4 linked regions of the Alligator mississippiensis genome follow. The protein of the gene in region 4 interacts with the protein of the main gene of each other region in a pairwise test. Links are inferred from orthologs where the notes say so. Each region holds a gene or a part of one and is shown on either strand. Other genes may lie near its edges. The genes, in order: RNF8, ATXN1L, HMGA1 and RBFOX2.

Region 1 (7,494 bases), on a different chromosome or scaffold from region 4:
GCACCAGCAGTGCTGGGGGGCAAAGGGCTACAGATCAGGAGTGAGGGGCACTGGCAGCGCTGGGGGGCAGGGGGCTTTGGGTCAGAAGTGAGGAACACAGGCAGTGCTGAGAGAGCAGGGGCTTAGGAGGGAGGGGCAGAGGCAGGGCACAGGCATATCACTACCCTCCCCCTCAATCATATACCTCTCCCCCTGTTCTCCCCACACCCCTGCTGGCTACCCGTGCAGCCTCCCCCCCCCTGCAGAGGGATGCTCTCTTTTTTGATCCTGGAAATATAGTAACCCTAACCTTGTTGTCTTTGACTGTCCACTGGCCTTCTTCATTCTGCTTGAAAACACAGTGGTTGCGAGAGATCATCAGCGGGCAGATTTTTGATACTAGCTGGTAGGTGAGACCAAGTCCTCGACCGATAGTTACCTAAAAATAAGAAGTTTAACAACAGACATTACCAATAATTGAGAATGGGTGCTCTATATGCTTTGATCTTAAATACAAGGAAAATGGTCACTGAATTTGTTTTGCACAGTGGAAATTAAAGCAGTAAACTGACCTTAACAAAAAGATTACTATTTATAAATTTAAACACAAGAAAGGTAACATGTTGATAAAGTTAAGTGCCAACAGTAAATGGAAGCCTTTGAAAAGTGGAAGTATTTGGGCCTTTTGGGGAAAAAAGAAACAATTTGCCGCCTCTGATACTGAAGACAATGACCATAAAAATAAAGAAGAACAAAGGCTTCAGAGGCTTCCAGATAACCACGTAGCTTCTAAGCGAGGGGTGGGCAAAATACAGTGCGTGGGCCGCGTGCGGCCCACCAGGCCATTTTATCTGGCCTGCGTGGCGCCTAAAAAATTTAGAAAATGAATATTTATCTGCCCCGGCTGCCTGTCATGTGGCCCTCAATGACTTGCCAAAACTCAGTAAATGGCCCTCTGCCCGAAATAATTGCCCACCCCTGTTCTAAGCTCCTCCTTCCTCTAAGGCAGTGATTCTCAAGCAGGGTGCCACAGCACCCTGGAGTGGCTTGAGATCCTTTCAAGGGTGCCACAGGATGCCACACTATGTTAGCACTGTTAGGTATGCAAACATGATTCACAAAATAAACCCAGAGATTTCAAACAGAAATCTTTAGTTGCGGTCTTTCTGAGCTCTTTGCAACAGAACTATTATTTTTCTGTAGTCAAAAAAGGAGTGAAGATCAAGAGCTGGCATCTTCGGAGGGGTGCCTCAAGACTATCCAGGAGTGCCTTGAGTCTAAAAAAGCTGAGACCCACTGCTGTAGGGCCTCTTACCTGAGAGATTACGCTTCAGGTAGAATCGGGAATTTATTCAGCTTTGCTCTTTAAATTTTTAGATTGCATTTTCTTTGCTGCTGTACTACAAGTACCTACTAGCCACTGCTGCCATTAACACCAGAAATTTAACCATGTACAATACTCCCTTGCCCAAGAGATCTCCCTGGGCATTCAAAATCATGTTTTAGTACCTGACAAGTCATATGTTTCTATTCTTCCTAAACTTCAAGAGTTACCTCAGCTAGAAGAATCAGCTGGTTTCCTGCCTGCCTCCTGTATCAGAAAATGAACTAAATTTCAACTGCAAGGGCAAATTCTACCGTTATATCTATGAAAAGCCATGGTGCCTTCAGTGGAGACTGCAGAGAAGTAACATTAAGGAAATTAGCTTTGCTGATGAAGATGAGCCTGGCAGAAAGAAACCAGCTTAATTTTCAGAGCCCACGCTGAGTTTGTAAGCGTGATTGGCGAACTACTTCGCACAAACACGGTAGAACCTTTTTGTATGAAGAGCAAATCAAATCGTAAACTGTGAGCTTCTGCATGCCTATCCAAATTTCCACTGATTAAGATTTCAAGAAAGGATTTTCTTGATTTGTAGCCCAGGTAAGTTATGAGACCTAAAACCATGCATTGCAATAAACTTACAAATATTGGCAGTTAGTTCTCTTCTCCTGCCTGCAGGCCAGATCAATGGCTCAAGGGTTGGACTCTAAGGATGCGTCCAGATGAGCATGCACATGCATTTCCTCGGGGACAAACAGCAGCGACATTTAGATGTTCGGGAGGGGCCACCAGGGTTTCAGTGGCAGCAATCCATACGTGCAGAGGAGCCTAGCCAGCAGCCAGAGTAGGGTTCTGATCATCCAGGCTCTGTTTTTGTGTGGCGCACGCTGCAGCCACATGCCCTGCTCCACTTTTTATTGGTGTGGGTTTTTTTGACACTGGGATCTCCTGTTCTCAAAAAAACCTCTGCAAATTAGCAGTACTATGAACATCTGTATGTGTGGTGCATGTGGTATGTGGCGCCGCTGAAGGGTCTGTGGAACAACAAACCGCACACGTGCGCTTGTCTGGACGCATCCGTAGGCCCTTGGTATATATACACATTACATATATTACACAATCAACTGGTTAACTAAACAATAAATTTAGACCGGCCACAAGTGGAAAGTAATGATCACACAATTAACTGGTTAACTGCACCCTATATTTAGGTCACCTCAAGACTCATCAATGAGTCGTAGCAGAAATCATCCTCAAATCGAGGGGCTGCCCCTGCCACCAGCAGCGTAATTACAGGTGACAAATTACGGGTGCATAGACGTGGCGACGACAGAGCTGGTACACATTTCCAAGCACTAACTTCATAAGCGGTTGGCTCTCTTCAGAGCCAGAGAGTCACTGTCAGAGCATGGCATGACTTTGCACATGTGGCCGGTCAACATTTGCTGCACGACACACCGGTGAATGACATAATATAATGTAACAGGTACCAGGGGCCTTAGACTACCAAAGCCGGGAGTGGGGTGGGGAGGGGAGCGAAAGGCTGGCTCTCCCACCTACCTGACACAGCAAGCGCGAGCCTACCTCAAATCAACATAAAACTCCTCCCTTCCCTTCCCTTCCCTTCCCTTCCCTTCCCTTCCTCCTCCACTCCCCCGGTGGTCGAAGCCCCCCTGGCCCGCGCACCTCAGCGCCGCCCCGCAGCAGCAGCCACTGCTCGTGCTGGCCGAGGCGCCTCAGACACCAGCACCGGCCACCACACTCCGCCATCCCGCCCCGCAGGCAGGACCAATCGCTCCCCTAGGAGAGGTGGGGAGGGGCCTCCGCGCGACTGGGGGCCGCGGCGCATGCGCAGGGGGGCGGCCAGGTGGAACAATGGATGGCCGAGCTAGGAAGAGCGGCGGTGGCAGGGGCTGTTGGGAGTGCGGTGCTCGCGCATGCGCCCGCAGCTGTCCGCAAGATGGCGGGGCTGTTGCGGGGCTTGCGCGGGGCGGGTCGGGGCTGCGCTTGGCGCTGCGGGTATCGCCGCCCGTGCTGCTCCGCCGCCGCCGGCCCGGGCCCCGCCGCGGGGCAGGTGCGTGAGGCCTTCCTGAGCTTCTTCCAGGGGCGGCATCGGCACCGCCGCCTGCCCTCCGCCTCGGTGCGGCCCCGCGGGGACCCCGCGCTGCTGTTCGTCAACGCGGGCATGAACCAGGTGTGTGCGCATGCGTGTTTGTATGAGCACACGCGTCTGCATCCTTTCCAGGGATGGCTACCTGCGTGCATGCACATGCGTGTGTTTGTGCGCACCTGCGTGTGTGTGAGAGTGCCTGGATGGGAGTGCATATACACGTGCAAGTGTGTGTCCATGTTCATGTATGTGTGTGTACATGTGTGTTCCCATGTGCGTCTGGATGGGAGTGCGTGTACACGTGCACGTGTGTGCAGCTGGTGTATCCTGTGCAGGGCCTACCCTGGTGAGGCCACCTGGAAGAGGCTTGTATCCCACACCTGCACCCACCCTTCACTCACGTTGTCAAGCAGGGCAGGGACTGGGCTGAGCCTGGGGGGTGCCTTTCCCATGCCCCAGCCAGGAGGCTGCAGGTCTCGTTCCCCTCCACAGTCATAGGGAAGTAGGGCTGAAAGCGGACCCCAGAGGTTATCTAGTGCAACCCCCTGCCTGAGGTAGGATCATCCCTGTCCAAACCATTCTGTACAAATCATAATCTAGCCTCTGCATGAATCTACCATCAGCCCTGACACAACACAGACCTAGCACCCTAACCTGCCCCAGGTAAAGCAGGGGAATCACAGCAGCCAACATCCTGCTTCTATTAAATGTTGCCAGTATACATTCAAGAGATCTTAGATAGCTACACCCCCTGCTAGAGGAAGGCAAAACCCCCCACAGTCCATACTGGTCTGGTCACAGGGGTAAAAGCCCTTCCTGACCCCAGATAGGATGATCGGTCTGACCCTGAGCAGAGGTTTAAAACCCTCTAGCCAGGAACCTCTGGATTTGGTCCCAGTGGGAGCATTGGCACACCCTGACCAAAGTCTTCAGCCTTAGCTATAGCCAATACGCAGTGCTTCTGGGAAGGCATAAAAGCACCCGTACACGTGTTATAGCAGACAAGGGGAGGGAGGGGGCAACCAGCAAAGCACAGGAAATGCCCATAGTAGTTATGCCTGGATCACCCCCGAGCAGTGTCCAACCTCTTGAAAACCTCTAGTGATGGGGAGTCCACAGCTTCCGTAGGGAGTCTGGTCCACTGTCTCACTAGTCTTGCAGTGAAGAAGTTTTTCTGGATGTCCAATCTCAACTCACTTTCTTGCAACTTGAAGCCATTGGTCCATGTCTTCTCTGCAGCAAGAGAAAACAGGTGCTTTCTCTGTTCTTCAGATATTTGGAGCAGTCCCCTGATGTGCTTCAGCTGTGATAAAACAGAGCCAGTTACTGAGCTGTCCCATCTGCCTATGTTGCAATTAGCCCTTAATTGCCCTAGGTGCCTTCCTCCTTGTTCAGAGTTGCCACAGCACAGTTGGAGTCCATTGTACCAGGCAGCGTCTGAAAATGTTTACACTTTTACATTGCTGTTCTAGTTCAAGCCCATCTTCCTGGGCACGGCAGATCCCCGGAGTGAGCTGGCCCAGTACCAGCGTGTGGTGAACAGCCAGAAGTGTGTGCGTGCTGGTGGGAAGCATAATGACCTGGAGGATGTGGGCAGAGACACTTACCATCACACCTTCTTTGAGATGTTGGGGAGCTGGTCTTTCGGGGATTACTTCAAGGTGAGATGCTAAAGCCAGAGGTAGGCAAAATATGGTTTGTGGGGCTGTATCTAGCCCACCAATTGACTCTGTCCAGTCTGTGGGTGGGTAGCAGCTCCAGCTCCGGCCTCTGGTGGCACCACATGTTGCTAGGTCGAAGCAACCCTGCCCACCAACCCGCCTGGCTCTGCCTCACTGTCAGGCCCCGGCACCCCTGCTCAGGCTGGGCTGGCGGTGCCCTGCCTGCCTGCAACATGGAGCTGGCAGGAACCCCGTTGGGTGCCAGGACCGTGTGGCAAAGGTAACCCAGTGCCTTCTGGTTCTGTCCCCACCTCTTCCCTTGCCCCATGCAGCACTGCAAGCCAGCCCAGCCATCTGCCTCTTGGCTGCAGCCAGCACAGCTCCTTCCTGTCCACCCAAGTGAGGCTGCTCCCAGCATGCTGGGGCTCCTCCTGGGGGAAGGGGAACCACCAGGCTGTGGGGGTGCAGCCTGCATGGCTCTAGCAGGGAGTTGGGGTGGGTTGGAGGGGGCTGCTGGGCTTCCCCAGGCTTTGTGAGAGAGCCAGTGTGGATGGAAAGGAGTGAGGGGCAGGCAAGCGGGTTTGAGGCTCAAGTAGCTCCTAAAGGGTGTGCCAGTGTGCATGCTGAGGCAGGAACTCCCTTGTGATTTGGGGGATGGCTGGGTGATGGCAGGGCTCTGGTGAGGGTGGGGGCATCCTCCCTTGGCCTAGTTTCCTGCTGACTGGTTTTGGTTCCCTTGAGAAAGACACTTTATTTTGAGCTATTACACAATCACATCTATGTACACTGCTAAAAAAAACCCCAAACAAATCAGGACAAAATTTATTCTTTGAAATAAAATTAAAATATTCCATAATGTTCGTTGTTTTTTTTAAGCATGTGATTTGGGTTTTTTTCTATGGTTTGTTAAAATGATATCTTCACCATTAATTTTACATGTGTGGCTCTCAACGGCTCACCAGAACTCACTAAGCAGCCCTCCAGCCAAAATAATTACCCACTCCTACACTAGAGCGTAAAATCCTCAGGGACAGGGGGTCTCTGCAAAGTGTCAGGTGCATCTTATGGCTCCAGAAACATAACTGTACCGGATACAGTCTCTTGGCTGCTTTGATGACTGCATGTTTCTCACAACACAGGCTACATTCTTTGTTGTGAGCTACATGGCTAAAATGGGTGTCTAACCAGGGAATGTGCTGAGCGTATGCGGGTGGTCTAAAATGATAACACCTTCACCAGCTGCCTAACTGTGTGTGTGTGTGTGTGTGTATAAAAAGACTACTGACGTATTAAATATTCTGTTAACTCTTACGTAGAAAAGGGGAGCAGTTTGTGGGGAGTGGAGGGGGGAAGGATGGGTGTTGGGTTACACCAGATAGGAGGCATGGAGTGATCCTTGTATAGAAGTACAAGCAACGCTAGGAAAATTTGGTGAACCTGTGGCTTTAACAATGTATCTCCGATGGGAGCACTGGGTGGCATGCTATCTATACAGAGCTCTTTCCTGCTACTGTGCAGGGAGTTAGAAGACACCTCAAGCGTCATCTAGTCCAACTCTCTGGTCCTGTGACTTCCTGAAGGTAATGGTGACTGGTTTCAGGTGCCTGGTGAACAGGTATCCACACTTCAGAAACCATCCTAGCAGCTGTCCCACTGTCCCCCTCCTTTGGTTGCTTGTTTTGCAGGCTGTGTGGGACCAAATGAACTGTGTGGGGGAAGGTAGGTCTGTCCTGTACCTGTCCCCTGGATAAGAAAAGGGTTCCAGCAGGGTAGGCACTCAGTTCAAAAAGGGAAAATGAAGGCTTGAACTGAGCTCTAGTGCCTCTAGTCAGTAAACTCCCCATTGAATAGGGAGTCACTCTCACTGATTCTCCAATTGACTTAGTGGGTGTAGGCACTGCTAGGTCACATTTAGGAAGCTGATAGTTTTCCACAGATGTCTGAAGGCCTGTCTTGCTTGCCTTGCTGCCTTCATGCTGTGTGATATGCTATCTTTCATAGATTTCATAAATGTTAGGGCTGGAAGGGACCTTGAAGATCATGAAGTCCAGCCCCCTGCCCCAGGGGCAGGAAGTCAGCTAGGGTCAAAGGATCCCAGCAAGATAAGCATCCAAACGTTTCTTGAATGAGTCCAGAGTAGGTGCCTGCACCACTTCTGAAGGGAGTCTATTCCAGGCCTTGGGGGCTTGGACAGTAAAGAAATTTTTTCCTTATGTCCAGCCTAAAACAGTCTTGGAGGAGTTTATGACTGTTGGTCCTTGTTTTTCCTTGGGGTGCTCTGGTGAACAGATGTTCTCCCAGATCCTGATGTACACCCCTTATACACTTATAAGCAGCCCCCGGGTTCCCCCTGAGCCTGCGCTTCTCCAGGCTGAAGAGTCCAGTGGCTCTCAGCCTCTCTTCATAAGGCCTATTCTCTT
Region 2 (7,473 bases), on a different chromosome or scaffold from region 4:
TGCGTTTGGCGTTATCACAGGAACTACCAATACCTCCTGCCACAGCACAGCTGCCTGAGGCCCCTACTTGCCCACACCCCACTCCCCAACCTGGCCCTCCCTCTCTGGTTTCCTTCAACGCTTGCAGGGGTTTTGCTAGCAGAAAGTCCCATGGGACTGAGTGGAGGAGACATGTCAGGGAGAGGCTGTCGGAGAAACACCTGCCCCCACCCCAAGAGCTCAACATGTGACGAAGTGTCCTTTTAAAGTGCATGTGTGAAAAGTGGGGAGGCTGGGAGCGGTGCCCCTGGCCCCCGCAGGGACCCAGCTCCCCACCACCATAGAGAGGAACAAACACTTCCGATACTGTATCTGCTACCTTGGGCTGTGGCTTCCTGGGTCCGCCCCTCCCGCCCCCACCCCCGAGTGCTCCATCCCCGGCCTGCAGGACGCTCAGGCACTCAGGGGCGTGCGAGAGCCCCGAGCTCTGGAATGCTTGTGGCCACACAGCCATGACCACATCCCCCATCCTCCATCCCTAACTCGCCTGTTGCTGCTGCTCCCTGAGGCACTGGAGCCCTCTGGATTCCAGGAGAGGATCTGATCAGTGACTGAACAGGAACCGAACCAGCTCTGCAGGCAGACAGCAGCCTCGCCGGTCAACCCGTCGCTCAGTCTGTGCAAAATCTCCACCTGACAAAGGGGGGCTCAGCCAGGGGCATGACCCAGGTGAGGGCCTCGCAGCGTTACTTCCCGGCATTCGAGCGCCCTTCAATGGACAGCTTCACTTCCTGGGGGATGAAGGAGGGACGGAGCAGGGATGGCCGGGGCTCCTCCCCCTGCGTGGTACATCTTTGGAAGTTGGGGGCTGTCCAGCTGTGCTGGCCACCCGGCTCAGGCTGGGAGGGCTCCGCACAGGCAGCGTGGGCAGCGCTGTCCCTTTCTGCCTGGCTCTTCCTCTCACTGTGCAGAGGTGCAGGGGGGTGCTCTCTGGACCCCTGCACCATTCTGTCAGCTCGCTCCCTGGCAGGCACAAGCTGGGTCGCGGGAGGGCAGGTCGCCTGAGAAGCAGAGTTGCCATTCATGTTCTGCAAGCTGATGGAGATGCAGACATCCCCCACCTGCAGCCTGTGGCAGGGCAGGGCGAAGAGCTGGGCAGTCCGCGCCGGGCTGCAGGAGGACCAGCCCTGGCCATACACGAAGAAGGGGTGCTCTGGGGGCACGTCGATGCTCACTTTGCTCTGCTGCTCCCCCACTACAAAATGCAGCATGACAAACCCAGGCCATTGGCTCTCCTGGATATCAACGACTGTGCTGGAGTCGATCTTCAGGCCCCCGCTCACCTCTGCACTGCGCACAAAGTCCTGGGTCTGCAGATCTTCCACCCGCTTCAGCTCTCCGGTGGCCAGTTGGATGATGGCTCCTTTCATGAAATGGGAAGGCAGATGGGAGGAGCTGGGGGGCTGCACCGGGCCCAAATCCTTGTCCAGCATGTTCCCCCGGGCCAGTGTGTTGGGACTCTGCCGTATCAGGGTCTCTGAGGAGGAAGACCTGATGGGCTCGGACCCGACCGGCACTAAAACCGGCTTGCCGTTGGCTATCGCCATTCCTTTGGTTAGCTGTCTGTATCTGGCTGGCTCCTCGGGGGACATTGCATATGGGCTCCTGGGCTGGCTCTTCTCTGCAGCAGCAGCAGCCGCCTCCATGGGACTCCTCCACAAGTCCCCAGACTCCCCTTGCTGATCAGGGATGTTATGGCAAAGGTTTAAAGGGCTCAGGCCATCCTTCTTCTGGGCTGCCAGAATCGGGTAATCCTGAGAGGCCAACACCCCAACCACCCTCTGTACCTCCAGGTCAGTATCCGGGGTGCTTCTGTGAGCTGGCACAGAGACCTCTGCTCTCAGAGTCTGGTAACCTGAAAGGAACTGTCCATCCAACACGCACTCCACGGCCGCCCCACACAGCTGGGCTTCGGCTTTGCTGCTGGCACAGTCCACAGCCTCGCCAGTCCTCCGCACCACGTGATGCTCTAGATGTCTCTGCCCGCCATTGGCAGACGCTGCGTCCGAATTCAGCTGATTCTCTTGCGCGGGAGGATCCGGGCTTCCAGCGGCAGCAGACATCTCGTACGCAGAGAAGCCCGGGGGCAGCCGGGACATGTGGTAATAAACAGGAAGCCTCCCCTGGGCTATGTCCAAAGGCTGGGCGCCAGCATGGTGCTGGACCTGGCTGGAGGGGGAGAGGGCAGAGGCAGGCTTGCTGAAGGCGTGGGCGGGAGAGGTAGTCGGAGGGGAGGCGGCGGCAGCGGCGGCTTCCTCGGTCAGCAGAGAGGTGTATGGCACGAAGTGGGGCACGTGCGAGGCGCCCAGGCCGGCGGAGGGCGAGAGCAGGGGGCCGGGCAGGAAGCCGGGCGGCACGGCGTAGGGCACGGTGTAGTGCGGGCCCACGAGCTGCAGCGAGGCGGGCGGCAGCTGGGCGTAGTGCAGCGGCGGGTAGGGCACGCCTGCGTGCGGCAGCAGCGACGAGGCCACGCCGAAGGCGGGCGGCAGTGGGCTCATGCTCACCACGGGCGGCGGGAAGGCGGCGGGCGGCACGGCCACCTTGTACAGCAGCCCGTACGGCTCCAGCGGCGGCCCCGCCTCGGCCCCCGGCCCCGGCCCCGCGCCCTCCCCGGCCGGCCCGTAGCGCGAGGGCGGCGGGGGCGGCGCGGGGCTGCGCGCGGCCGCGCCCCGGGCCCAGGCGGGGCCGTCGCCGGGCGGCGCGTGGTTGGCGGCGCCGAGGGGCGGGCGCGCCGCGTCGTGGCTGGCGGCGCCGGGCAGGTCGCGCTTCTTGGGGGGCAGGCACTCCTGGCTCCGCTCGTGCGCCGGCCTCATGCTGCCGCCGGCCCGCGGGCCCCGCCGCTCCGCGCCGCCGCCTGCGCCTCACCTGCGGGGGGAGGGCGGAGGACAGCGTCAGCGCCGCCGCCGCCGAGCCCCCCGGCCCCGGCCCCGACCCCGCTCCCCTCCCCGCCACTCACCCGCCATCGCCCGGCGCCGCCGCCCCGGCCCCCATCGGCCCGGCCCGGCCCGGCCCGACCCGACCCGACCCCTCCCCGCGGCGCGGCGCGCGGCGATGACGTGTAGGCCGCGCGCCGGAAGCGCCTCACCCCGCGGGGGCTGGGGCGCACGGGAATGACGTTTGGCTCTGTGTTGCCATGGCTACCGGGCACCGCCCGGGCCCGGGCCGGCCTGTCGAGCACATCACACAGCGCGCGGCGGCCCGAGCGGGCTCCGCGCAGCGCCGGTGCCCTGGGCTCGTGCCACCTGGCCTAGGCCCGCAGCGCCGCACGGGCTGTCCCGAGGCCGCGGGCAAGGCACGGGGCGCGACGGAAGTGGGCGGCGGGCGACAGGAAGGGGCGGGGCCGGCTGGCGGGCGGAACCTTGGCGCGGGGCCGGGGGGCCCGATCGGACGGGTACAGCCGCGACACCCACGGCCATCAGCGCCTGACGTCATCACTGCCTGCCACGGCGCTGCGCAGCCTCCGCGCACAAGAGAACGCGGCGCTTCCGCCGGGAAAAGGAGTCCCCGGCCCGGCCCTCGCCCGCGCTACGCGCCCGCCGCGCCCGAGGTGAGTGCGCGGGGCGGCCGCGGCGGCTGCGGCGGCGTCCCCAGGGGCGAGCAGGGGCGGGTGCCGAGCGGGCGCCGCCCGAGGGCGCGGATCCCTCCGCCTGCCGTAGCGGTGCTGAGGCCGCCGCGCCGCCATTTTGAACGCCTGGCCCTGCCGCCGCCTCGTCCGCTGCAGGCGCCCGGCCCGGCCCGGTGAGTGCGGCCCCCCCGCCCCGAGCCCCGGTGTTCGCCCCGCCCCGCCCCGTCTCGATCTTCTGCCCCGCCCCGTCCCGCCGCGGCCCCCGCCGGCCCTGCTCTGCTTGGCAGCCGCGCCCGCCTTCCCCGTCCCGTCCTCGGCTTTCCCAGCGCCTCGTGTGCTTCTGCTGCCTTCCCTGTCCCCTCCCGGACAGGTTTTCCCGGCACCAGCAGGAAGCGGACGAAGGTTTTACACGTCTGTCTCGGGGGCGATAGGTATTTCTTCTCGCAGGGGTCCCTCCGGACTGGAGGGTGCCGGCCGCAGCGGGCCATGCGTTCGCCCCGGGGCTCGCATGCGGCGTGCGCGTCCCGCTCCGGCCCGCGCGCGGCGGTCTGCAGGCCGACTGTTCCCGAACAGGCGATTTTGCGCGTGCAGACGGGCGCCTGCGACACGTCCCGAGGGGCGAAGCCGTGGGGCCGCTCGTGTCGCGTTGGCCGGCCGCGGCGAGGGATCCTGGGATGGTGGCACCGTCCCCTCGAGCTTGTCCAGCTCCGCGCGCGTTACAGCGACTGCCGCTTCCTGTTTCGGCTTGCGTTCACTGGCAGGGGAAAAGCCTCTTCGCCGCCGGCAGCGAGCGTGTTTTTCCTGGAGACCGGCTCCGACGTGGCGGCGCTGGTTGTAGCCGTTGTGCGACGCGCGAGGCAGCGGTGTGGAAACGGGTCTCCCGGGGGTGCTGGCGACTTGGGGTGTATGCTTCTTTGCTTACTCCCCGACTTGGCGGTGCCTCTTCCTCCGTGGCGCCCCGGGCCCCAGCACTGCAGCTCACAGCAGTAGAGCAGTTACAGATTTCACTTTTCTATTTAATATATTGCTGCAAAATAACTTGCTTTCTTTTTTGGCTGTGGTGTGTTTCACACTTGGTTTCCCTGGCTTCAGCATCTGTTTTCTCTTGCTACACTGGAAGCTTATTTTATCTGTTTTCAGGGCCTGTTCCTTTCCCCCTGTTGTGTGCACGGTCTTTCTCTCTCTCTCTCTCTCTGCCTGTCTCGCTTCTCGTTATCTGCTTGCATCTGCTCTCTGTGGGGGATTCACTTTACCAGACACCTGAGAGTTCAACTGAGGTGAGAAGTTTTGCTCTCCCAAGTATGAGCAGCATGGACCCCCTCTGCTTCTCCTTTAGGCTGGGAGTTCACCTTCCTACATGGGTGTGATTCCTGGATCTCACATGTATATTCCTCCTGCTAGGTATCTGGTAGGTTTGAGACCTCATCCTAGGATGTACAAGGGAGAAAATGAGCACTTTGCTCTGGCCCTAACAAGAGGCTGGTGGCTGCTGTGGGAATGACTTCTCTGCTAGCCTGTCCTTGTTCTGAACTCCTCTTGGTTTGGAGGGTTTTCTGCTCCAGTGAACAAAGCCAGTGTTGCCTTTCTGCCTACGCCAGCCAAACGGCAAGAGAAGGCAGTCTGATTTTGGAGAGCGCCCTGCACAGGGTCCTGCATAACATCACAGACAGCGAGGGAGGCTGGGAACTTTTCACACGACTCCTTGGCAAAGCTCGGGAGAGCAGCCGGGCCCTAGAGATGGTAGCAGACTTAGGCAGGTGCTGCACTGATTCTTCATGTTTTAGATTTGGAAAGTCACTCTGGACCTTAAGTGGTAGAAGCTTCTTAACACATTTTTGGCACTTAGCAAGGAAAACTTACGTTCCCTTTGAGAGTGGCTGTTTAAGCCCTCTCTGAGGTTTTGGTGATTTCCATAGCCTGAAACTGACCTTCGGTTTCTTACCGTGCTAGGAATAGGCAAACTTGTTTGGAGTGGCCTATTTTAGATCTTTCTCTGATGCTTTCTAGGGCAAAGTGTCTGCTCTACTGTTGTGTCGGCAGCTACATTATTGGATTAGGATTCTTGGTGCTGGTAATTGCAGGACATGTAGCAAATCAAGCTGAGGCTGGTAAGTGGTGAAGAGTCATGGTCACCTGATGAATGTGCCAGACAGTTGTGCTTGAGTTGCTTGTGGGCCCCTCCTTGTGTTACAGGTGGCAGTAATTGGCTCCATGCTTGTAGTTTGGCAGAGGCCACAAGTTGAATGGACTGGGGAAGTTGAAGGCTACATCTGCTCTGAAGGTCATGCTTCCTGGGCTTTGGCTGAGGTCACCTGACAGCATGCAGTGATGCTGCCTAAGCAGTGCACCGTGAGCCCCAGGGTTTCCATCTGGCCTTGAAAAAGGGTTCTTCTCTGCTGGGCTAGAGCAGCAGCCCAGAGGTTCTGGGGTCTGCTCTGGAGCTGAAAAGATGCATCTGTATATCGGAAACCAGAGCTGAGTGTTGATCGTATTAGCAGGAACAGAGGAGAACAGTAAAGGGCAGCATGGTTGTGGTGACTGAGGTGTGGGTACTCTGGCGTTGTAATCCTGCCTGTCTCACTGATTTATGGTGTGGCCTTGGTGATCTCCCTCCGCTCTCCATTGCTTAGCTTCTAAAGGGGTAATATTCACTTGTTCAGCCAACCTGTCCTGATGCAGACACTTGAGCCTTATGCACAGTAAAGATCATAGAGAACAATATTGGTTCCCCCCCTCCACTTTTGGGCCACCTGGAATTGTTTTATCTTCAGAAGACTCTTGCTGCTTCAATTTTTTTTAATGCTGCTGGAGAAGAGTGCTGCTTCCTTTGTGAGGGTGTTAAAGGCCTGGCTTGCAAGAATGCTGTCTTGATATTTAAACTCTCTTCCTGTCCGATACCTTTGTGTAGCCCAAAGCAATATTGACCCTTTTTATTTCCATATTGCTTTCAAACTCCTGTTTCTTTTCTATCTCTCTGGTCTCTTGCTGTTACCACTTCACCATTCAATTTAAATATTTTTTTTTACCTTTCCCAAGGGAGACTAGCTTCTCTGTTTCCAGGTTGAATTTCATGCTGTTGTTTCTGATAACTTTTCTTACTTCTCAGTCCCTTCTTATTTAATTTGCCATTCTGCATGGCCTCCCACCTTTGTTTGTGGTTTACCCTTTGGGGATGAATGTTATGGAAAATGAAGTGAAACGCTGGTGTCTGAAGCGCTCCAGTGGGCTGTCCTCGGGACCTGATATGCTTCTGTTCACAATTATGTTCTTGCCCTGTCTGGATCCATGTGTTACTGCTGCTGTTCAAGCCCATTTGAATTTTTCAGTAGCATTTAGGAAGAAAACTGTCTGTGCTCTCTTACTTCAGTCTAGCCATATTCCACATGGCCCTTTCCTTTAACCCACAAAGGGCTTGATCCTCTGCCATTGAAGCAAATTGGGGAGTTCTAGCATTGGCTTTGAGCTGGCTCTGGCCTGATTCTTCTTGGTGTGAGGAGTGCAGTGTGTTGTATGTAGATCTGAGTGGGGTGATTTACATCACTTGACTTTTAAAATTCATCACTGATTTAAATCATGGTGAGATAATTGATCTTTAGATTTTTTTTTTTAATCTAAAATCTATAATGGACTAAATCATAGAGGCTTTCTTCAGGAGATGCCTGTACTAATAGAGTAATGTGCTTGAATCTGACCAAATTGCTATATGCAAAGAACAAAAACAAAAAAACCCCAACCTCTGCCCCTCTTCAAAAGCTCTAAAAACTAAGCCCCAATCCTCTAAACACTTAAACTGATATGTAGCTTTATACCTATTAACAAGTCCACTGACTTCAGTGCGACTGTTCATGTTCTTAGTGTTTGCAACATTA
Region 3 (8,011 bases), on a different chromosome or scaffold from region 4:
CTGATGTGGGGGGATTCCCTTCCCCGCCGTCCTCCAGGGACAGACACAACGTGGAACCTGAACTGCGGCATTGCCAGCCTCCTCGGGAGGAGGGCATTTTGGTACCCAGACACCAGCAGGCCCCAGGTTGCCAAGGAGCAGCATCAATAAGCAACCATGGCAACTTGGAGGCAGCAAATGGGGAAAGGTCATGCGATTCCCTCTTCCCTTCTTCCCCCACAGGTACCTACCCTGCTTTTGGCAGTGGCCTTGTTTTTGCTCCCCTTTGGTCTGCCACGTGGTCTCTTGGGGGTCGGGGCCTCGCTGGGTTCCTGCTGAAGAGAAAGGGCAAGGCTGTCAGCGGATGCCCGGATCTATGGTGATAAGCAAAGAGAAGAGAGACAGGAGTGAGCAAAGCCAAGCTGCAAAGCAGAGCAAGATCCCAGCTCCCTGCGCTCCCCACCCAAAAGCAGCTGTCCCGGAAATGGGGGGTTCCCAGCAAGACGCAGCAGGCGGGCCCTTGGTGACGGAGACTGAAGAGCATAGCCTCCCCACTCCTTCAGTGTCATTAGAAGTGATGGCAAGCATGCACTCGGGAGAGCCATCCTCCCTGCTCCATCCAAATCCCTTGGGATACTGCAGTCGGAGAGGGAGCTGCTGCAGGGAGGGGCTGGCAGAGTCCAGCCAGCACCTGCAGGGTACTTGCACTGCAGCCGTGCATGCTGGGACATGTAGTTTCAAAGGGCCGGTCCTTAGAATTTAAAGCGGACGGACAGTGAGGCTGGGCCGGTGCTTAGATTAGATGTGTCTGAATGTGAGCCACTCACCTATGGACAGGAAGCACCAGCTGCTGCTTTGGAGTGGGTAGGGGAACGGATCAGATAGGGGCTACCTGAATTGAGGGACCTAACCTGGAGGGGAGTGGAGGGAGGGAAGGAGATCAGCTTGCCCAAAAGAAGCTAAATGCTTCCCCCCCACCCCAGATTTGGAGCAGAAGAAGCAAAGCTCTGGGAATGATCTTGGAGACATCAGAAAACCCTTCCCCTGCAGAAAATGCAATCAATCACCCCAGCTTCAGGGTCAAGAAACCCTAATGCTGGGAGACTCATAAAAATGTTGTGAATTATGCATTCCACTAGGAGATATGAGCATCGCAGCTACAGTTTCTAATACCCCGTCGCTTGCTGTTTATAGCTGCGGCTATTAGAAAACCAGTAATCCAACACCGGCAGCCCTGCCCCCAGCCCTGCAGAGTGATGGCCTCCTTCCACCAATCTGAGCCCTGCCAGGCAAATATTCCTGCCGCCGGAAGAGGAAGGAGGTGGGAGTTGCTGGCTCAGGTTGGTTAAAAGATACCAGGGGTCAGTTTCTGACCTGGGCTGGTTGGTGTAAATCCAGAGCAACTCCACTGACAGAGATAAGAGCTAGGCTCTGAGCTTTCCCATGATACATGCTCTGGGTACGTCAGCTTTCCCATGATACGTGCTTTGGGTCTGTCAGCTTTCCCTTGTTTTGTGCTAAGGGTAATTAAGCTATTGCTACAGCAATAGCACATCAGGGAGATGCCACTTGCCCAGGGCAGGGCTCTGCTACTGGAACAGGTTTCACTTTGGGCCTGGCCACTGATTCACTGCCCAGCCCTCAGCAAGTCTCTTAATAACACCTGCAACATATGGGCTTTATAAAGGAAAGGTGTCAGTCAATCATCCCCGCCTGAACACAAGTGAAGGGGCAGGTAGGATGCTAATTAGCTGCTGCCGTTCCACACAATAGGGAGAAACCCTCTGGGTCCCTTCCCCATATTACAGCTTGAGCGGCCCAAGTGGTTGTTTCAGGGCAGAACAGAGATGAAGTCACAAGCCTGTGCCTCAGGGCTTGTATTTGGGGAATTTAGACCCAGGCAAAATCCCCCTGCTTCAGCAGAACTGGCTGGAGCTTGAGTAGCACCCAGCTGCTTCCATCAGCACTGGTTGCATTTGCTTTTTCAGCAGGGTTAATTGACATGACTACAAGGACCTCACCCACAGAAGCCCTGTCTGCATTATGGCTCCTAGATCAGCTAAGCCAGTGATGGGTTTGGTAGGATTCACTTGATAAATGCTCCTGCTGTAGGGTCTCACAGATTGTGATCAGGGGCAGTGTTTAGCTGGAGCATTTTGAGCCCCTTGGGCCTGGCAGTGAGGACAGAATTAAATGCCTGTAGGACCAAGTAACTGATGAATTCAATACAGTGCTACTGGTCTGGATAGGCTCTTTCTGGGGCAGATGCTGCTGCTATAACAGCTGAGCAGGAGGGAGTGCTTTGGTAGGGAAATTCTGCTAGGCTCTTTCCCTGGGAGAAGTCCTACAGGTCCTTGCTGTCCATGTACAGCAAACAGAGCTGTGGTTTGTATCCATAAGAAGAGCTGAGTGCTGTTCACCTCTGCCAGGCTGAGCCCAACATGTGGGAGTCAGACTGTGACTTTAATACCAGTAAGTGGCTCTGCAACCTAGGCTGTTTCCTCATCCTTGGGGAAGGAGTTGCCTTGTTCCTTGTTTATGCCTTAATGCTTCTTCCCACTGCCTTGCTTTTTCCCCGTGGCCCTGGCAGGCCAAGCAAGGTGTGGAAGGTGCATTGCTCTTTTTGCCCTCTATACTAGTGATTTTTTTTTTTTTCCTTTTTGCTAGGCATGCTGCAGAGACCCCTGAGCTAGCTCTGTATCCACTAGCTTTGCATAGGAAGCAGCATAATTGCAATGTTGTACAAAGGCAGCTCTGCACCTCCTGTTCCAGAACTGTGTGCGATCGCGTGTAAAGCTGCAGCATGATGCTTGTGGGAATGGGTAGGTTAGGGGTCAGCTACTGAGTATGTTAGTGGTACAGCTGGGAAGAGATATGGGGGCCTTGACATCCCAACCCTGTGCCCTACCCTCCAGACCATGCGGAGGGGGTTAAGAAGAGAGGTATTTCCAGGGCTGAACTTAACTCATGAAAATGCCTTTCCTCGCTGTAGATGTCCAGCACCCAGCTCTCCTAGTCTCTAGAGCAGGGTGGAAGGAAAAAATTCTCTGTACCTGCGGCTTCTTCCTGGGCCGGCCCCGTCCTCTCTTCTCGGAGACATCCTTCTCCTGTTTTGAAGCCAGGGGTTGGCTGGATTTTGCACTGGATTCACTCATTTTTCTATCTTCTGGGTCATGCAAGAGAGAAGACAGGAGGGTGAGTCAGCCGCATTTTCTATGTGACATGGATATAATGCTTTCTCTGTGACCTGGGCTGTGTAGGTGACTCTCATCCCTGCTTCACTGATGGGAGGGAGCTGAAGCCCAAGGAAGGCAAGAGTGAGTCATAGAGGGTCCTACGCCCAGTTGGTGAATGAGTGTTGAATAGGATTGTCATAGTTCAGCTCCTTCCCTCAGCCCTGTGTCACCCTGTCCTGGTTGTCCCCTCTAGCCTGCCCATGCTGGACAGTGTTATCCAGGCCCCTCCAGTGGCTATGACCTCCTGGGAGGGGGCTGCTCAAGTGTCCCCTCCTTTGTACGTTCAGTTTGCACCCCTTTTCCCCCACTGTTGCATTGCCTTATGGAGCAGTTACACTTGGAGCAGTAGGACAAGGTCTGGGGTTTCCTTCAGACTGTGAAGGCTTTTGGTCTCCTCTTTTTGTCTGATGTGCTAATGAGAGGGGAGAGCAAGTCATCACCAGGGATCCTGGTTTTCTCTGATAAAAAAAATTGCAGATTCTCTGACTTAAAAAAATTGTAAACTCCGTTATTAAAATTAAAGGCCTGCTGGGGGGACAGGTGCCAGGGCTATGGAGCCAGGGCCCCAGCCCCGTGCAGAAGGCAATGGCTGCTGCAGCAGGAGCCGGCTCCCCCACTGCTGCTGTGGGCTGGCTCCGGCGCAGTCCCGGGTGTCAAGGGGGGGCCGTGCCCTCCAGATCTGTGTGCAGGGGGGTAGGGGGCAGGCGGGTGCACGCTGCAGACTTGTGCTTCCCACCCTGCTGCCCTCCCCTGCAACCTTCGCAGCGCAGTGTGTGCAACCTGGTGCGGCACGGCACAGCGGGGAGGCGCACGAAAGCTGCCTGCTGCTGCGAGCTCCGCGCTGCCTGGGTCGCACCTCCCCTGCGTGCACAAGGGGAAGTAGCACACGGTTGTGCCCCTCACCGCTGCTCCTGCGCACACAGGGGAGGTGTGGCCCAGGCAGCGCAGAGCTCGCAGCAGCAGGCAGCTTTCGTGCACCTCCCTGCTGTGCCCTGCCGTCCAGGGTCACACACGCTGCACTGCAGAGGTTGGGGGGGAGGGCAGCGTGCACCCGCTCTGCCCCTTGCACACAGATCTGGGGGGCATGGGTCCCCCCTTTCTGGGGCCATGTGGCATGGGTGGGTGCTCCATGGGGGGCTTCCCCCAACACCTCCTTGCTCCTGCAGCCACACACCAATGCCCTGCCCTGCTGGCTCTTCCCCCAGCCCTGGCAGTCACCCCCACCCACCACCTAGGGCCCCTGCCAGGGGCAGCCCCCAGCCCTACTTACTTCCCAGGCTCCAGGAAGGGGAAGTGAGCCTGATCCAAGCCTGGGGGGAGTGATAGCCTCAGGCCCTGCCCCCCTCCTTCCCTCCTCCTCCAGGCAGGCCTGGGGCTTTCCCGCTCTTTTTGCAAATAGCCTGCAGGCTGCAACTCTGCTTGCCTGCAGAGCTCTTTGCAAAAGCAGGGAATCCGCAGGTTTCTCTGCTAAAAGAGGAACATCCATTTTTTTTCCCCCTGCTAAAATCAGGAAATCCATCCATGGTTTTCTCTGTTTTCCCGTGGGAAATGCAAAACCCGGATCCCTGGTGATGCACAGGATTGTCATGGTCCAGCTCCTTTTCCCCCAGCTCTGCGTCGACCTGTCCTAGTTGTCCCCTCTCGCCCGCCCGCGCTGGACAGCATGATCCAGGCCCCTCCAATCGGTGTGATCTCCTGGGAGGGAGCTTCTTGGTGTCCACTCCCAGCTTTCACCCCGTTTCCTCCACTGTTGCATTGCATTATGAAGTGGTTGCATTTGGAGCAGCAGTGCAAGGAGCTTTGGGGTTTCCTCCACACTTAAGGCTTTTGATCTCTTGTTGTCTGATGTGCTAATGAGAGGAGAGAGCAGCTCACCACGGTCACACAGGAATGGGGGGCTGGAAGGGATTGGAGTTCATCCCCTGTGTCCGTGGGCACCCACCTTATTAAAGCCTTTTCCTGAGCTGATGGAGCTGCTGCCCCTGAAAGAGAGCTGTGTCTTGCCCTAGATACTCCTACAGCTGCTCCACAGCCTCAACCGTTGGGTGCTCAGAAACCTCCTCCTAACTTTGCAGCCTATATTTGCTCCTAGTTGATTTGCACCCGTGATGGAGTCAGCGTAGTGGCTGTCCTCTTGTCTGGACCCCACTGAGCTCCAGTCTGAGCTGGAGCCCTGTGAAGCACACCTGGCTCTTATCCCAAATCTCAGTTTTCAGAAGTGGCCTCCGACTCCATGCATTTTGAGGTCGAGCCTCTGGGGGAATTGGGCTCTTTTTTTTCTAACCGAGTCCGCATAGATGCTCTGAAGTACCCAGTAATAGAGGGTGTTTTTGAAAACCTGGCTGCAGCGGGGTACCACGTTGCCTAGCTGAGGAGGGCTCAGGTGTGGTGAAGCGGTGTTGGGAGCATGTGGTCTCCCAACTGGGAGATGGGGGAATATGTGATTTAATGTACTGTCCAGTGCTTTGGGCTGAGGGCGGTTTTGTGCAGCTCTGGTGAAGGGAGGGAAGGATGCAACTGCACCACGTGGAGCTCTAAGCGTATGTGCCATGGAGAACAATCTTGCTGTGGCAGGTAGGACTGTAAAGGGCATCTTTATCTACCAGGCCTATCTTCTGGGGGGGACCCTGCTCCACGTGTCGACCCACGTGTTGGGCGGTGCATCCTTTCCTGTCTCGGCCATGCTTTCTCTGCATTGCTTCTGTGCTGCGGTCCCATTGCTTTATAATACTCGTATTGCTGAGATCAGGGCCCTGCTCTGCTAGGTGCTGTACAAAAGCCACAGGAAGTGAGTTCATCCCCCGCAGAGGGCAGTCGACAGGACAAGCCAAGTAGTTTTAACCAAGCCGCTCTACTGCTGGGCAAGCAGAGGCACAGATGGAAGAGGTGACGCGTCCAAGGGTATGCAGAGAGCCCAGAAGGGGCCTTAACCTCAAGGCCAACTTCTCACTCTGCTTGCACGACTCCCAGTAAAACCCCACCCAGCTACAGTGATAATATTTTCTGGTTCAACTACCTCTGTTACCCCAAATCTCTGCACCCTGTGGACTGTCCACAGCTGGATCTTCAATGTGTGGACAGCAAACTGCACCCTGCAGTAGCCTTTCCTATTTTTTCAGTGGATTCTGCCAGAAGCTAGGAAGAGAGAGGGGTCTAACAGGAACAGGCCACGCCTGTCGAGTAAAAACCTGCCTGTCCTAATCCTGCAGCCAGTGAGGCCTCCTGTTCCTAAAATCCTACTCTGCCCCCAGCTTTTCTCAGCTGACTGAAAAATGCCACTTTGCCGCAGCTCGCGCACAATTCCCGGTGCCCTCTCCAAGGATGGTCATCGTGGACCTGGTCAGAGCAAGGCTCCACCAAGAAGCTGCTTTCTATCCCCCTGGCACCAGGTAGGAGTTTGCAGGACAGCGGGGAGCTGACACCAGATTGCCGGATTTGTGGCCTGCTGTTATCACCGTTATTTCACACGACCGAAGCCAGCAGTGACTCCAGCGCCAACCAAGAGCAAGATCGGGCCCGCTATGCCCACGTCTTAAAACTTCTTTTCATCTCGTTGAGGTGCCAGCTGATGGGGCCAAAGAAGCTCAGGCAGTCCATAACTTTGACCATCCCATGCACCTTTGGTTTGACCCATGGCCTTGATTTCACAAAGATGCCCAGCAGGCCCTCTGTGCGCCAGAAGTTGGAAGCTTTAATGTACTATCACGCATACGTTTTTATAGATTAAGCCAAAAAGAGGCCAGCTATTTAGCTTAGTGATTCTCAACCGGGGTGCAGTAGCTCTCTGAGGTGCCTTGGGATCCTTTCAAGAGTGCTTTGGGGTGGGCAAACGTGGTAGAGCAGATATGCCCAGAGACCTCAAGCAGGGATGCTTAAGTGTTTAAAACCGCTCTGCTCTGTTGTGGTCTCCCTGAGTCCTTTGCAAACAGAAGACTAGTCTCTTTCTGTATTGAAAAAGGGTTTCCTGAGGGGGTCCTGTCTCATGGGGTTGAGAACTGACCTTCTGCCTAACATGGGCTGTTGGACTGCATCCAGGCATGCCTGCATTCAGCCCAGAGCTAGACCAGAGGATGGTTTATGTCAGAGTATCATCAACGACCCCAAACCAGCAGGGCATGCATCCATGCATGAACACACACAGACATGCCAAAGGGCTGCTGTCTTGCCCCACTTCCCAGCAGCTGCAGAAACAGAAAGGGGGCTTGGACCCTACTGCTCACTCCTTAAGACTGAGGCTGCCCAACTAATAACCGCTGTCAGGCATCTTTCGTGCCACAGCCTCCAACCCAACAGCTCAGTCACTGAAGAAACAGTGTTTAAAACCATTGTAGCCCCCCCCCCCCCCTCCTCCATACTGGCCTGGGACTCAATCCGGCAAGCCCTTACATTGAGATGTGTGCAGAATCAAATCCCCAAGCTCAACCTCGGAGGTTAAAGGCTCAATGTTCCTCCCCCTTATTGCTCACAAGGTTTAAAATGCCAGCTCTTTCAGAAGGTAAGTTGTTTGCCATCAGCATTTGGAATAATCCCACCTCCTAGTTGGCAGATACCAGAACAGGTCCAATTCAGGAAGCATCAGCAAGCAGCTGGGAAATGAAACCTGTGAGCAGTGAAAGGCAGATCTCACCAAAACAACGAGCCCCTTCAGCCCCCAGACAAGACTGTCAAAATAAATCTGTTCCCAAACAGTTTTTTAGCCTCAGCTACAGCTGATTGCTTGCAAAAAGTCTCCTCCAAAGGGGTGGTCTATCTGGAAAAGCTATTAGGAATAATGTAGGGTGTGAGTTTCAAGTTGA
Region 4 (7,686 bases):
CACTTTTAAGCTTCTCTCATTCCTGTCTTCCTGATCTTCCACTATTTCCTTTTTCACAGACAGCCTCTTTCCTACCTTGTATTCTATCACTGTAATGTCTCCCTTTGACCTTCCCCCCCAACCCCTGCTTTACCTTTTGTCTTTCTAATTTCTACCTATTTATATTCCCACTGACATCCTGCCACTCTTTTCGCTTCTCTCATTCCTCCAGCATCTCAGACCAGCAGAGACTCCCTATGCCTGAAGAAGTGTGGCAGTGCCCAACAGCTTGCCAAGAACTTTTTTCCAACTACTCAGTTGGTCTAATAAAAGACATCACATCTACTAAAAGAACCTTGCCTGTGTATATCAGAGTTCATACATTCATTCATACAATAGACTTCCATAGAATATACACAGCTTCCCTCAACACTGAGCAGCTTTTCCAGCGCAATCCTGCAGATTTACGAATTCACAAAAATACCACTTTGGCCACAGAGAAGACGAGAGTGCCTTCCGGTGACCCTTGCAGGGGCATGGAGTACTGCAAACAGCGAACGTGAAGTTCCAAACCAAGTTCAGACCATATAGTGATGCGAGAAAGGAAGGTTACAGGGAAACAAGCAGGAAAGAACAAACACACAGAAGAACTAAAACAAACAAAAAGCTCCACACCCTCCTGCTTCAAAGTAGTCAAAAAAGCCTTCAGCATGGTAACTGAATAGAAGCCAGAACAAAAAAAGTGAAGAAAACTAGTTGTGTAACTACTGGCATTTGAGAAGGGTCAGGAGAAAAAGCTCTGGGCTTTCCCTTCAGAGACAATCAACACAAGCCACAAATCCAGAAGCAACTCCGGATGAATAGCTCACACTGTTCTCAAGGCATTCCAACACCTTCAGTTCAAGAAGCAGTCGCAAGAAGCACTGAGACCACCTGCTCACTTGCCTAAGCACAATAATGCTACATTAAATATAGCCAAGGAAAAAAGAACAATATCCAGAATCCCAAACGACTCAAATAAATGCATCTGGAAAAGGAAAGCACAAAACACTGACCAAAATACACTGGGGCAAGACAACAGAATCTTTTCTCTCTGACCTGTCTACCCTCAAATCTAATGATGAGAGGTAGCACTCTCTTTGTCAACCCTGGAAATGTCTCATGTGATGTCCCCAAACCTTCCTCCTCTGTTACCAGGTACACCGACAACTATTCAATATCATTTGCAAACAAACAAGAGCAGGAGCAAGCCAAGTGTCACTGCTGACAAGAAACATGTATGTTCACTATATGAACTACCCCCTTCTACAGCATCCCCCAGGGCAGAGGTGTCATTATACAGACATGAATACAGTATAAAGAAGAGAGAGTCAGGGGGAGAAATACAGTAGTGTAGGAAGGGGAGGCCCAGTGAAGAGCAAACAGAAAAAAACTACTAGAGGAAAGGGGCCCTCAAAAAATTAAAAATGTTCACTGCAGTGACAGACAAGGTTCCTTGGGTGAATTTGATATCTTTTATTAGACCAACCTAAATGGTTGGAGAATAGTTATTAAGCAAGCTTTCGGGTTCAAAAACCCTTCGTCAGGCTAAGGAAGCTGTAGCAGTTGGTGTGCTCTTCCTGCAGTGACGTGCCCACCTGAAATCAAGAGTTCATACCCATCTTTATTAGTGCCAGAGTGGATGCTAACATGCCCTGGATGCTAACATGCCCAGTCCCCCTTGCCCCCTCATCCTGCCCATGCGGTAGGTACACTTTACTACGTACACTGAACGTAGCAGCTTGCGGTCCATCAGGCTCTAAACTAGTATGGGCTCCCCTAACTCTCTGATCTTGTCACTCAGTAAAAACTGGCTAGGGACGGGTGGAGGAACAAACAAGGCCAGTAACAAACACCTTTCACTAGCTATATGGGGAGACGTAGTTCTAGGCGGATGCCCAATTCCAGGGGGTGAGGGACTTGGTGGCAGAAAACATGTTTGAGGAGAGCAGCCCAAAACTCTCAGCCGCTGAGTGACGCAGGACTTTTAGCCTAACTATCAAGGCAATTTCCTATGAAGCAAAGCATTCAGGGCTGCGAAACAGCTCCTTGGGGACAGTGGCCTGCGCGTCGTCCTTCCTGACACACGTATGACGCCCTGACTTCGCAAAGGCCGCTCAAAGCTTGCCCGGTCAGCTGCGCACGCAGGCAGCGCGTACCTGGAGGGCAGGTGGCTCCGGCTGAGTCCAGGCAAGACGCACCAACAAGTCTGACCCCAAGTCTTACCTGCTTAAGCCAGCCCTGGGCACACTGACAAGGGGCTGCGCAACGTCAGGCTGCCCAACGTCAGGCTGCCCAGGCTGCGGGGCAGCAGGCCGCACTGCCAGCACAGAAGCAGGCGCGGTCCAAAACCCCGGTGTGAATTCAAGGCCACCCACAATGTTTGTGTTTTACCAGCAGTAAAGTTGACATCAACTTTTTTTGGAGGGGGTTTAAAGCCCTGACTATGGCGGTGCCCAGCTCCGGGCTCTGGGCCGCGGGTGGGGGCCGAGGGGCAGGACACGCCGCCCTGGGGGGGGGGGCCTCGGGAAACCACGGCTAGAGAGAGGCCGGCGGGTGGGGGCCGCTCGCTCGCCCGCCCTTTGCTCCCGCACCTGCATGCCGCCGCCCTCGGCCGCCTCCGCCTCCGTCCTCAGCCGCTTGCTGTGACCGCTCTCGGCTCCGTCCCCGCCAGGCATGGGCTGCTCCGGCTCCGGCTCCCGCTTGATGCCCCTGGGGGCCCCGCCGCCGGGGAGGAGCTGCTGGTTCTGCGGCTGGGGCTGCGGCTGAGGCTGCGGCTGGGGCTGGCTGCCGCCCTCCGCCATCCGCGCCCGCCGGACCCCGCCGCCCCGCGCGCCCTGCGGGGGCCGCCGCTGCACAGCCGCGATCCCTGCCGCCGCCCGGCCCGGCCCGGCCCGGCCCGGCCCGGTCGCTGCCTGCCCGCCTGCCCGGGGCGATGCCGCGCTTGGGCTCGGGGTCGGGGAGCACGCGCCTCGCTCCGACCGCCGCTCCACACCGTACCGCACCGCGCCGTTCGGGATCGGGCTCGCGGACTGGGCGAGAGAAGGTGGCGGGGCCCTCGGCAATCTCCGGAACCGCCGCCTGGGCGGTGCGACCCCCGCTCGGCAGCCTTCGGCCTGGGGGCGGGGCCTCGGCCGGCCGGGCGGGGCTGGGCTGGGCGGGGATGGCGGCGGCGGCTGGGCCAGTCTCGGAGGCGTGAGGCGCTGGACTGCTCCTGCCCCGCCCCGCCCCGCCCCGCCTCGCCTCGCCCGGCCCGGCCCGGCCCGGCCCGGCCCGGCCGAGCCTCGCTGCCCGGCCCCGCTCAGTGTGTTTGCAGTGGGGGGGCCGGGAATGACGCCTGGCAGGGGCCACGCGTAGGGGGTGCACATGCACCCCCTGCGGAAAGGCGCTGCCAACACTGTCGGCTGCCTGCCAGCCCCCCCCCCTCCGCTGACACCGCCGGTGGCACGTGCTGGCGGGCTGCCCTCCCCGCTGGCCGCCGCCGACACTGCCAGCAGCGTGTGCGGGTGGTCGCCAACCCCTGGTCAGCGCTCACCACCACCCAACCAACAGTGCCGGCGGCGTCTGCGGGAGCTTCAGCTTGCCGCCGCTCTCCCACCGCCGGCGCTGTGCGCCCAGCCTTGTTCATGACCCCAGGAACCCCCAACACACACGCATGGGCCAGCTCACCCTCACACGTGCCCCAACAGCCACACACCCCATCTGGGCTAGCGCAGCCCCTCACTCATCCTCCCCAACACATAGGCATGCACCCACATCCCTACACACACACCCCAACACAAGCATGCACATACCCCACCCAGGTCAGCACAGCCCCACACGCGCACCCCAACACATCCTTCCCAACACACACCCCCACACCCCCCAGGGCCAGCTCAGCCCCACACGATGCTACAAATAATCCCTCTTACTCTTTACACAGCAAAATTGGGCTCCCTGTTCCCCCTGCCATAAAGCCTTCAGAAGCTGTTTGGCTGAGCTGGCCCCAACAAACAGGTCTCCTTCCTAGCCTCCACCCCTCGACTTGACCCCGCAAGGCCTCTGGAATAAGAACTGCTGTTTGTTGGGTCAGACCACAGGTCTGTCTAGCCCAGCATCACTGGGTCACACGGTGGCAGACAGTGATCGCAGACAGGGACAGTGACCTGGGTCCGGCCAGGGTTTTTAGAATCATAGAATTGTAGAAAATGAGGGTTGGCAGGGACCTCAGGAGCTCATTTACTCCAACCCCCTGCTCAAAGCAGGACCAGCCCCAACTGGATCATCCCAGCCAAGGCTTTGTCTAGCTGGGTCTTAAAAACCTCCAAGGACGAAGAGTCTACCACCTCTCTGGGTAACCTGTTCCAGTGCTTTACTACCCTCCTAGTGAGAAAGTTTTTCTTAATATCTAACCTAAACTTCCCTGCTGCAACTTGAAACCATTGCTCCTTGCTCTGTCGTCTGCCACCACTGGGCACTTGTATACATGACACCATTACCATGTCCGCATGACAAAAATGTCACTTTGTGTGGCTTGATGGCGTCACATGGCATGTGCAAGACTTTTGAGGGTGTTAAGTGAGTTTGCATGGTTGCAAACTAAACTACATCTGGATGTAGTAGTTTGCAACATTGCAAATTGCAACAATCCAGCTGTCAACTCACCACCCCCCTAGCTGCAGGAGAAACAAGACGGCTCCATAGAAAAACAGGATCGGGCCCTTCTCTGCTTCTGCTTTCAGCAGGCTCCTCCGGCTGGCAGGATGCCTGGGGCCATCCGGGAATGGGATGGTTTGTCCCTAGGGCAGTGCAGGACAGCAGCAGGAGGGCAGCTGGGTTTGCTGGCAGCTGGAAGAGGTGGCGGGGATGGTGCACGAAGCCCTGGAAGCTTGGGTGGGCTCAGGGAAGCATTGCATTGGGCACCTCTGAGCTGGGGCAGCACCTGGCCAGCTAACAGTTCACCCGGGCTTCCAGCGCTCTGTGCACCATCCCTGATGCCTTCTCCAGCTGCCAGCTAACCCAGCCACTCTCCTGCAGCCTTCCCGCGCTGCCCCAGGGGCAAGCCAGCCCATTCCTAGGTGGCCCCAGGCATCTTACCAGCCACAGGAGCCTGCCAAAGACAGAAGTAGTCATGCATGAACAACGCATGCCCCCGGCAGCTGGGGGAGCATGGTGGCTGCAGGAGCGCAGTGGTGGTAAGCAGGGAAGCTCCTGCAGGCGCTGTCAGTGGCAGGAGGGGAGGGGAGTGGGGGCGAGTGCCGACCAGGGGTCAGCAACCACCCACAGACCAGCAGGGATTGTGAACCGCCCACAGATGGCACCATTGGTGTCGGCTGCAGGGTGGCAAGCAGCGACTGCCCACAGGTGTCACCGACAGTGTTAGCAGCACCTTTTAGTAAGGGGTGCACCACCACGCTCAGGGGATGCACATGCACCCACGTCCACCCGCTACATGTCACCCCTGCAGTCATGGCCCAATCCTCTTTTTGTATTTTGGCAGAGCCTGCCTGCCTCTCCCGTGGCCAGAGGCTGAGCTGCCGGCAGGCCAAGTGGCCCCTGATCTGTTGGGGAACTAGTCCTTCCCTCCGCGGTGGCGGTGCACCCCAGGGCCATGGGCTGCTAGCAGGCCGGGTCAGGGCCAGCCCATCCTATCCTGCAAAACCTGCGGCCACAGGGGGCCCCACAGCCAAGGGACCCCTAGCGTCCAGCCACTCACCACCCCCACCCCCTGCCACTTCATGGGCCTTAAGGCCCACCCATCTAACTAATAGCCCCCACTGTGTGAAGCCAAAGGGTGAAAGACACAACTAATTTTTTTAATTTGGGGGGGGGGGGGGGACAACTGAGGAAAAAGCAGGATAGGCGTGACCAGGGGTTCAAGGGTCAAAATGTGAAAATAAGTGCGCCGGGGGGGAACGACACTGAGTAGAGCCCCCCATCCCACACCCACTGGTCCTCAAAGACATCCAAGCAGCTGGTGGAGGCTGCCCATTGATGCTCTGCCTGGAAACATGCATGGATGAGTGAGAGGAAAGGAGCCCCGCATTCCTCAGGCACCTTCCTGGCCAGCGCCTCCTTCCTAGTTATGTACAGGGCCCACTTGGCCAGGGCCAGGAGGAGGTTGACCAGGAAGTCCCGGGACTTGGTGGGGCTGCAAATGGAGTGCCCAAAAATAAAAAGGTGTGGGGGTGAAATTCATCCAGAACCTCAGGAGGAGGTTCAGAAGGTGGAGGTGGAGGTGTTGCATCCTGGCGCACTTGAGTGTCATGTGCGCAGGGGTGACGCATAGAGGGTGCACATGGGTGCACGTGCACCCCCTGAGCTTGGCGGTGCACCCCCTACAAGAAGGGGGACCGCCACCTGCAGGCGGTCACTGCTTACCACTCCCACCGCTGACACTGGCAGCGGCATCTGTGGGCAGTCAGCGATCACCGCTGGCCAATGCTGATGCTGCTGGTAGTGTCTATGTTTGTCTGGTTGGGGCTCGCCTGCCCCCCTATGATGATACTGTTGTTGGCGTCTGTGGGAGCTCCTGCTTACTGCCACCGCACTCCTGCTGCCATCATGCCCCCCCAGCCGCCAGGGGCATGCATCATTCCTGCATGTGTGCCAGGGCCTGTGAAGCTCACCACATATATGCCTGTGGTGATGGCTCCATGGAGGAGCCACCAGCTGAGGTCCCCAGTGGCTTGTGGGATGAAGGCAAAGTATAGGCTAAGCCACTGGGGTGCCCCAGCCATGCCCTCACTGAGCAGGTCCCGCCACTTGGTGTCTGGGCAGGATGTGAGGGCAACATGATGGATAGTGCGGCACATGAGCATTTAGAGGTGGCAGCGACAGACAGTGGAAAAACAGACCGGTTTGGTGTCCTCCAGCCGGCTCAGGTGGTGGGATGGGGAGTGCTGTGAGGCTAGGTGAGGCGCCAGCCTCAGCAGCTCACTGCTGGCTGCAGGCAGGCTCCAACTCCAAAAAGAAAAAAAAAATGATCAGGCCCCCTGCTGTAACACGATGGAAAAACTGAAGCAGCGGGTTTCAATTAAAAACCCACCACTTCGATTTAAGGGGCATAGAGGAAAACTCTGAGGGCTAAACCCCTGTCATATGTACAAGCACCCATTGAGAACAAGTCTAGTTGCAACCTCCTAGGAACCCCTCTTCAGGTAGTTGAAGGCTGCTATTAAATCCCCCCTCAGTCTTCTCTCCTCCAGACTAAATAAGCCCAGTTCCCTCAACCTCAGTTCATAAGTCATGTGTCCCAGCCCCCTAACCACTTTCATTGCCCTCCACTGAACTCTCTGTAATTTGTCCACATCCTTTCTGTAAGGGGCGAGGGGCACTGTTTTTCCCACTGTTCCTCTCCCACTTGCAGCTTGCAGCATTTAAACTCTAGAAAGTTCTTATTCAGAGGCCATCCCCCTGCCTCCCATGCTCAAATCGCTCCTTCCCCTTTGCTTTTCCTTGCAATTCTCAGCACTAGACTTTGTTTCCCACCATGCTCCTACTTGCCCGTCTTGGCTAAGCATGTTTAGAGTGCATCATAATCTCACTGAGCTAAGTAATCTTGTTTCATTGGCAGATTTTACCATGAAACTGTTTATCCTCTGTTTTCCAGACTGTCAGCAAGCAGTGTAGGTCTCAGAGTGCCCTTTGAGAGCATCGCATCATTAATCTCTTTTGTCATGTTGAAAA

What was found.
Region 1: the proteins of RBFOX2 (region 4) and RNF8 interact in binary tests that used the Homo sapiens proteins (3 or more experiments, as listed by UniProt). The two-hybrid records come from large-scale screens. The link is inferred for Alligator mississippiensis from reciprocal best matches to the Homo sapiens genes RBFOX2 and RNF8.
Region 2: the proteins of RBFOX2 (region 4) and ATXN1L interact in binary tests that used the Homo sapiens proteins (3 or more experiments, as listed by UniProt). The link is inferred for Alligator mississippiensis from reciprocal best matches to the Homo sapiens genes RBFOX2 and ATXN1L.
Region 3: the proteins of RBFOX2 (region 4) and HMGA1 interact in a two-hybrid assay, tested with the Homo sapiens proteins (2 studies listed by BioGRID and IntAct, with this or other methods). The link is inferred for Alligator mississippiensis from reciprocal best matches to the Homo sapiens genes RBFOX2 and HMGA1.

What each region holds. Positions count from the first base shown.
Region 1 is NC_081824.1:169,948,829-169,956,322, reverse strand, and holds the start of RNF8 (E3 ubiquitin-protein ligase RNF8), read right to left. Parts: upstream 3,198-7,494; 5' UTR 3,074-3,197; coding exon 2,990-3,073; intron 419-2,989; coding exon 290-418; intron 1-289. Other genes in the region: AARS2 (alanine--tRNA ligase, mitochondrial), read left to right, coding at 3,264-3,497, 4,886-5,074. UniProt on the Homo sapiens protein: E3 ubiquitin-protein ligase that plays a key role in DNA damage signaling via 2 distinct roles: by mediating the 'Lys-63'-linked ubiquitination of histones H2A and H2AX and promoting the recruitment of DNA repair proteins at double-strand breaks (DSBs) sites, and by catalyzing 'Lys-48'-linked ubiquitination to remove target proteins from DNA damage sites.
Region 2 is NC_081833.1:77,569,717-77,577,189, forward strand, and holds the start of ATXN1L (ataxin-1-like), read right to left. Parts: upstream 3,206-7,473; 5' UTR 2,996-3,205; intron 2,905-2,995; 5' UTR 2,853-2,904; coding exon 726-2,852; 3' UTR 1-725. UniProt on the Homo sapiens protein: Chromatin-binding factor that repress Notch signaling in the absence of Notch intracellular domain by acting as a CBF1 corepressor. Binds to the HEY promoter and might assist, along with NCOR2, RBPJ-mediated repression.
Region 3 is NC_081837.1:37,338,145-37,346,155, forward strand, and holds the start of HMGA1 (high mobility group protein HMG-I/HMG-Y), read right to left. Parts: upstream 3,135-8,011; coding exon 3,033-3,134; exon of another isoform or gene 2,647-3,032; intron 2,452-2,646; exon of another isoform or gene 1,305-2,451; intron 354-1,304; coding exon 231-353; intron 1-230. UniProt on the Homo sapiens protein: HMG-I/Y bind preferentially to the minor groove of A+T rich regions in double-stranded DNA. It is suggested that these proteins could function in nucleosome phasing and in the 3'-end processing of mRNA transcripts.
Region 4 is NC_081827.1:101,111,706-101,119,391, reverse strand, and holds the start of RBFOX2 (RNA binding protein fox-1 homolog 2), read right to left. Parts: upstream 3,106-7,686; 5' UTR 2,823-3,105; coding exon 2,613-2,822; intron 1-2,612. UniProt on the Homo sapiens protein: RNA-binding protein that regulates alternative splicing events by binding to 5'-UGCAUGU-3' elements. Prevents binding of U2AF2 to the 3'-splice site.